Mus musculus: one gene and its partner. The protein of the gene in region 1 purifies or fractionates together with the protein of each later gene. This does not show direct contact. Links are inferred from orthologs where the notes say so. Each region holds a gene or a part of one and is shown on either strand. Other genes may lie near its edges.

Region 1 (4,572 bases):
AGTTTTAAGATATCCTCTGAAAGTCAGCTGATGGTGACACACGCCTTTAATCATCCTACCACTCAGAAGACAGAGGCAAGCAGATCTCTGTGAGTTCCAAGCCACCAGCCTAGTCTATATAATGAGTTTCAGGATAGCCAGGGCTACACAGTAAGACCCTGCCTCAAAAATACAAAAGGAAACAAACAAAAAAAAAACCAAAAGGAGAGAGAGGGAGGAGGAGGAGGAGGAGGAAGAGGAGGAAGAAGAGGAAGAAGAGGAAAAGAAGAAGAATCATCATCATCCCCTGAAAGCAACCGGATAATTCCATCATTCCAAAACTCTATCTGCACGTCCTAGAAATGAAAGACACTTTAGATAAGGTGGCTAAAGTATTCCTTCCCACAAATGAGATCACACATGAATTTTTAAATCCAAAACTGAAAACAATTTGGTTCCTTCCACTAGGAACCTACCTCCTTATAGTCCCCATTTCTGTTGAGTCGATAGCCCTCAGGAGTGTGGAGCTGCAGGGTTGTACTATTGATCACTTCCACACAGCATTCTTGGTCAGGAAAGCTCAGGGGGCGAACCCTACAGTACACCTGGAAAAAGAAAGAGGTGTTCAAACAAGGTTGACTTTTTGCCTGATTTTTCTTTTTGGCTTTTCTGTTTGTTTCGTTTGTTGAGACACAAGTTCTCAGTCTGTAGGCCAAGGTGGACTGGAGCTCTCAGCAATCTGCCTGCTAGTCTCCAGGATGCTGGGACTCTAGGCAAGCACCTCTGTGAATGTTCAGCACACACTTGACTTTCCATTTAAGTTCTGTTTATTCGCCTACAAACATAAATTCCTGAGTCACAAAAAACAAATCTACAGCTCAGAATGATCAAATGCAAAGGTGCATTAAATCAAAATAAGTTTAGGTTAAAATATTAAACTGAACCGTAATCTCTTCACTGTTGTGCACAAATAAAATTGCAACAACATAAAAATCTCTCTGAATAGCTGAAAAAGCCATTAAATTCTTTAGAGTTGGGTGTTATTTCCAACAGCCAGCTCAGGTGGGCATGGTAGCTCACTTTGTAATCACAGCATCTGGAGGGTAGAGGACCTCATTTGGGGAAACCCTGTATAGCTGTGTTCACAGCAGGTGGTACAGTTGGGAGCCAGAGACCCTCTGCAGTGGCAGTGGGGGGATGGAGGGGATATTCAGAAACTTCTTTTCAGGAAGAGGTACTAACTAAATCCAGTTATTCTGCACTAGTCTCTATGAACTTTGAGTACGTGTCAGTTACCACACACAGGTGGGAGAGGGCTAAGACTTGAGGAAAAAGTCCCCACCCATCCCCACCCCAAAGAGTAGAACCTGCTGGGAGAGACCATTTAACCTTTCAAATCTAATTAGTGATAGTAGGTTTGCAGTCAACAACTAAAGAGTCCCTTTACAGAAAGCAAACTTCCCAGCTAAACCCAGCTTTATACAATTCAGTGCATCGGTTTAACTGCGTGCTCTTTAACCCGACTTTCATATTGCTTTCCTCCCCTTTCAAGCACACACATACAAGAAGTGGACTAAAGAAAGAAAATACACACACACACACACACACACACACACACCTTACCCCCACTGGATCTTTAAGGTTTGTCTGAGATCCTTTTTTTATTACAGGTTTTCTGACCGTCTTAGCCTTCCTGGTTAAAAAGAGAAAAAAAAGCCATAAATTCAACACTAACATAGAAGACATCACAAATTCTAACAATGAACTTCCTAAGGCTTAAAAAAATCATTTCCCAGCAATCTCAAATACCGCACAGCAAATAACATGTATATAAACAATAAACTGTACTCGAGAAATGTGGTATATGTAATTTAACTCATTAAAATTTCAATTGGGAAAATACACTTTTGATACCATTAGTACTCAGTGGAACTTTTGTTTGTATTTTTTTTAAGTGTTGGAGTGCAAATTCAGAGATTTGCTCATGCTATGTAGGAAGATTAGATTATTCACAATGCTGAAATGTCTTGCTATTTTAAGTAAACAATATAAAAAATTATTTTATTTCAACATTCTCTATCATTTAACTTTTTTTTCCTTTCTCGTTTATAGGCTACAAGAATATTTAACACAAATTAAACCAAAAGACTCGTTTAGACTGTAGATTATTAAAGTACTTTTCTCAATAGAGTCACACGTAAACTAGAAGCAAACCAGAGTCCAGCGATATACTAGGGTAGGTATCCTTAAGTAAATATAAAGACTGACGTTTCCTCATTTTAAAAAGTTCCGTTTTTTTTTTTTTTCGTGTGTGTGCGTGTGAAAGTAACGATTTCTAAAGCCAGCCCTCCTTCGCAGTAAAAGTGTAACCAGGATGTGGCTCTCCTGAAGAGTCTAGGAATACTGAGGAATGTGGGCGTGGGAGATAGAGTAGGCGTGTGGGATGGCCTGGGGACAAAGATAGCGCAAGGTGGCGGAGCTGCAGAAGGACCCTGACCTCAAGGCTAGAACTAGGGAAGGGATGCCGACGGAGCTGTGGAGGCTCAACTCCCCCAAAGTGCCAGCGCGCACCCCGGCTGCGCGCCGCCCGGGGTCCCCAGACCTGCCACCTGCGCAGCGGGCGGGGAGGAAGGAAGCTGGGGAGGGATGGGCAGCCCAAAGGATGGCAACCCGAGGAGGTGGTGGCAGACAGCCCCGGATTCGGAGGCAGCCTTCGCGGGCTCAGAGGACTGGGAGGGCGCCGGCACACCAGGGTCGCCAGCCACCAGAACTCTGCAGTGCGGAGCTTCGGCCTACACTGTACTACGGACTCAGCTCCCGGGCAGTCCCCAGTCTCAGCGTGAGGAGGGCGGCGACCCCCACGCAGTCCTCCCACCAGTACTCACGCTGACTTCATGACCGCAGGCTCCGTGCTATCCTGACGCGCGCGCGGGACGTCGGGCTCCGACAGGAGCAAGGCTGGCGGGAACTAAGCCGAGCAAACCACGGCCGCGGGGACCAGGACTCAATCTGAGGAGAGCCCGGCGGCGACGCTGCAAGCCCAAGTGTGCGCCCGCCCGGCGCATTTCAAACAGGCCAATCAGCGGCCGCCTGCGGCGAAGGGGCGGGGCCTCGGGGAGCGCTGGCACGGCCAGCAGGGGCGCTCGTCTCCTTGGCAACCCAAGGGCGCCAGCCGGAGGCTGAGGAGGGCAGCGCTGGAGAAAAACCTGAGAGGGGAAATCCCGGCCCTTCCGCCCTTCCGTTCTGACGCAGAAGCTGAGATCTCCCAGTCTTTGTCCTGAGAACCTCTAAGGAAGTAAAGCCTTGGTCGGGCATGTTCTAATTTCAGGCTGGCCGCTGGCTACCACATCATCTTATTCATTTTATTGTATTTATATTTTATTTTTACCTTTACTTTTAGTTCTACGTTTACATTTTATCTTACTTTTGATATTTATTTTGAGACGAGAGTATCTTGTATCCCAGGCTGGCCTCACACTTACAGTGAGGACCCCAGAATGATCTTGAAGACTATACCAACTTGGCAGACAACCTGTTGTAAGTTCCTTTCTCTGGATTCTCCAGTTCTCTCTCTCTCTCTCTCTCTCTCTCTCTCTCTCTCTCTGTGTGTGTGTGTGTGTGTGTGTGTGTGTGTGTGTGTGTGTGTGTTTCATGGTGCTAGTGATCAAACCTAGAGCCTCACAATGTTAGGCAAAGGTGATACCACTAAGCCACACATCCTTAACCTTCAAATTCTTGATTTTGATGTTTCCTGGATATACAGAGATGCATAAAATCTACCCACTGCCCTTGTGCAACCACCGTTTACCCTTTGCCTTCTACAAGTTGATTCTTTCTCATTTAATCCCAGCCCCCATGCTGACGATTCCCCAGGGATGTAGCCACACCTGCGTTCTGTGACTCAAGCTCCACTTAGAACTTCCTTTAGGGCCAGCACTGATAAGGATAGCCAGTTTAATATCCATAGTTAATGTCCATATTACTGGACATTAGTCTTTCCAATATTTACTGTTGCAAACTGCTTCGATGAATAAACCTGAAAATGCATCCATGGATAAATTTCCAGAAGCAGATAGAAAGCTACCAGGCTTTGCCACCATCACTTTCCAAAACCGATCCATTTGACTGCACTCTCACCTATAAGTCACAGGTCTGGGAGAGCCCTAGGGTGGGTCATCGCCCTTTGCTTGAGACCCTCAGTGGGGCCCTGAGGCTAGTCTTCCTGTTCAGTTGCGTCACCTCTCACCTGTCCCAAGCCCAACGCTCATGCGTGGAACGTTTCTGCCCCCACACTCGAGTCTCTCTGCTGTCTCTCAGCCTTCCTTTCCTCGGAGAATGCCTCACCTTCTCTGGATCCCAGAGCCCCTGCCGCCCCTCACTGCACCGTTGATTTCAGCATCACCCCACGCGGTGCCCGGCCCCTGTTTACGGAGTCCTCTCCCAGCGTATCCTCTTCAGCCTCGCTAGATGGCACTGTTGCACGCTCGGTGCTTACCACTATGGGCATGGCCCTAAGCGTTGAAAGCGGTGGAGGCTCTCACTGAAGGACACTGGAGGGGCTCTCCCATGCTCCATCTGTAGCTTTGACTCATG
Region 2 (3,470 bases), on another chromosome or scaffold:
GGGCTCGGAAGCTAGGGGTTTTTAATAGAAGCAAAGGGTTAGGGGTAAGAGGAATTTTAGCAAAGGTACTGGATTGGCTCATTAAAATATTAACAGAAAGATTATATGTCAGCAAAAAGGGGCATCAGGACTTTGTTCCGGTGGGCTTGGGGCTTATCTTTGTTCACATAACAACCAGTTGATGTATGACTTTACCCGGCGCCAAGGGGTAATAGACAGAAGGGAGGTTCCGGCCAGATGGTGTTGACTCAGACAAGATAGCCCTGCTTGTCCTCGGATTGAGGGGAGGTTCCGGCCAGATGGTGTTGACTCAGATAATATAGCCCTGTTTGTCCTTGCATACCTTTCCATCTTTACTGTCAAGATGTTCTTAGGAATGCCTTAACAACAGCCTTGCCCTGGCATGCCTGGGCCTGTTCTGCTTTGTTCTCAGCCCCAGGCCAGGGCCGCTGGCTCCTAGACAACTCACAAGTTACAATATTTCATCTTCCTTCACTACATCTACAGTCATATTTTATGTTTTTTGTGGCTTTCTTACAAAGGTGTGCTTTGTATGTAATACATATAGATAGAAATAAATCCACATTTCACACAAGCTTAATCAAGTACACTTTATATAATACACAGCCATGAAGCAAATGAAGCAAAGTATATAAGCAGCATACTTAAGACATGTTCAAAATACAGTATTTTGTGAGTATTGATATTATTGTAGCTAGTAAAGAAATGTGCCAAAACTCCCTTTGCCATTCCACTTAAACTGGTTCCCCATAATTTCAATAAACATCTCCTGTGACATTATGTTGTCATCAGCTTGTGTAATCCCAAGTTCACTCAGTCTTTTCTTCATCCGGCCTTTTTGCATGGAAATAGCAAGTAGTTCATTTATAATTTCACAGTTTCCCTTAGCTTGTTCATTAAAGTCAGCTGTGGCATAAGGCTCCATTTTGCTAGCCACACACTGAAGCATTTCTTCCAGATCTAATCCTTCAGTGACATCTGCCTCTTTATTTTTCTGAACCATATTGTCTGAGGAAACAAATTATAATGAAGTTAAACATACAGTTTAAACAAACAAGGAGATATTTCTAATACAGTCTTTTAGATTCAAGTATTTTCTGCCAAGAGTTTATAGAATTTCTTTACTATAAAAATCTCAATGAGTAGCTACTTAGATCTTCTTGCAAAGTTTCATTAATAGGGTCATTAATTTTAAACTTTGTTTACCTTCTTCATCCTAAAATCTCAGTCACTGGACAGATATGTTCCTAGATATTTACTATCTGCTAAGCTATGTACTGGGAGCTAGTTGTTAAACTCACAATCTACTAGCTAGTTCCCATCCTCAAGAGTTGTACTCTCAGCCAGGCGTGGTGGCGCATGCCTTTAATCCCAGCACTTGGAAGGCAGAGGTAGGTGGATTTCTGAGTTTGAGGCCAGCCTGGTCTACAGAGTTCCAGGACAGCCAGGGCTACACAGCGAAACCCTGTCTTGTAAAACCAAATTAAAAAAAAAAAAAAAAAAAAGAAAGAAAAAAAGAGTTGTACTCTCATGCTGGTGGCCTGCCCTGGCCTCCTGGGGTTTGGAGTTGAGGTGGAACACAGAGTTGGATGATCTCCAGCTCTGTAACTCTGGGGGCTAGAAGCTGATGGCTTCTGCAAACTTAACACTCTCTTGCTTATTTTCTGGATGAAAACCACTGGCTTCCTTTTGCTCTAACTCTCTGTGCTTGAACAAGTGCTGGGCAATTATGAAAAGGATTTATTGCTAGTGCTTTTGTCTCTGGCCAGTCAGCTAAGAAGCCTCTCACTGGCCAGAAAGCTCATTACGTCTTTTTGAACCAGAGAGAGAAGAACGGAAAGGAAAAAAGCCACTCACACAGACAACACACACACCAGGTGAGGTGGAAACTAGTTACACCATCTGTCTTTATTACTTTCAGCTTTTTTTTTTTCATAGCTTTTTAGACAAAAAGTTCTCTATGTAAGAATTACCTCATAGATAAAATGTTACATGAAAGGGGAGTTACAGAGAAGTATTAATAATAAGTACAAAGCACTGTTTCACATTGTAAGCTCATTATAAGTTCAACGCAAAAGTCTTTACATGGCCTTGCCTTATCATAGTGCACACTTGTGGCTTCATCCTTGCACCTGAATGTTTTTGCTTTAACACAAATTTCTCCCAAGCATATATGGTTTTTTAGTGTAATTATAAAAGCTCATTGTATTGCTTATTATGTAGCTCTTACTTACTATTTATGAGAAGTGGGCATATTTCATTCTTGATTCTAATTTTATTACATATTTCTAGTAAAACAAATAAAACCATCTTAAAACTTTCTTCCTAAGATTATTTGAATCAAATCAGGAATTCTATCATTAATTCATCTAAACAGCAATTATGAAAGTTCGCCTTTATGTTGATCTGCAGGAAATCTGCTCAACAGTGGTAGGTTAATGCCCAGGAATCCTTAGGCTATATAATAGTGACAGGAAAGGTATAGCAGCTGCAAGAAGCAATCCTGAGATGAAGTGCCTAGGGACCTTGCCTCTCAGAGCTCACCCATGCAAAAATGGTGGGTCACCTTGAGAAAGGTCATCTGCTAGCCTTAGCCTTTCCTAGATAGCTCCTGACACTCTCATGATTGCTAAATGCAAAAATATTTTGTTATTATCTTCCAATGTTATTATTATCTTCTAATGTGATTAAGCCTATCTAGGCAAGTTTTTTGTTTTTGTTTTTCCTAGCTGGCTGCAGAAGATTCAAAGCATAAGCTTGAATCTGTGTATCTTAATCAATGGGGCTACAGAATGATTCCAGCCAAGCTTAGTCCTAAGATCTATACCACGGACTCTGCAGACGAATGACACGAGTAGCATTGGGTGTAGATTCGTCCTCCAGAGCTTAAAAGGTAAGGGCCTCTTCCACATGCATCTCAGCTGTTCTTTGTTCTGTCCTGACTGGAAGGGCTCCTGAAGGATGACAAGGCCTATTCTTCAAACCACTTCAAATTTCCACAGCCATACTAGTACTTTTTACTTCTTTAGGTCTTATATTTAAAAGTGATTTACACATCAGTGGCTTGAGATTTACAAATTTCCACTGTGTGTGCTTTCCTTTTCTGTCAGGAAAAGTGGTAACTGAGAGAAACTTTTCATTTACCAATGAAAAGTAAACGCAAAAGAAACTTCAAACTTAGAAAATTCATTTCTTACTTCTATCCTCCACAAATATCTACAGAAGTCATTTTGTTTTATACGCAAGAAGCCAAGAAGACTTACTGAACCACACTGAAGCTCCAAATGAACAGATCAACAAGCTAAATTTGAAATTAGCAATTTCAATGCTTAATTTGAAATTTGAATTTCTATGCTTAGATTCAATAATTGCTTCACCATTCTCTCTGACCTTGTTCTATCTCTATGACCAAGCATACTCGAAGCTCTTTCTCTCTCTTTTTTTTGAAA

What was found. The genes of interacting proteins can lie anywhere in the genome.
Region 2: the proteins of Kif23 (region 1) and Shcbp1 purify together in Homo sapiens (affinity purification with western blotting; 9 studies listed by BioGRID and IntAct, with this or other methods). This does not show direct contact. The link is inferred for Mus musculus from reciprocal best matches to the Homo sapiens genes KIF23 and SHCBP1.

Annotation. Positions count from the first base shown.
Region 1 is NC_000075.6:61,943,748-61,948,319, forward strand, and holds the start of Kif23 (kinesin-like protein KIF23), read right to left. Parts: upstream 3,053-4,572; 5' UTR 2,876-3,052; coding exon 2,865-2,875; intron 1,673-2,864; coding exon 1,603-1,672; intron 585-1,602; coding exon 456-584; intron 1-455.
Region 2 is NC_000074.6:4,735,379-4,738,848, forward strand, and holds the end of Shcbp1 (SHC SH2 domain-binding protein 1), read right to left. Parts: intron 1,030-3,470; coding exon 716-1,029; 3' UTR 598-715; downstream 1-597. UniProt on the Homo sapiens protein: May play a role in signaling pathways governing cellular proliferation, cell growth and differentiation. May be a component of a novel signaling pathway downstream of Shc. Acts as a positive regulator of FGF signaling in neural progenitor cells.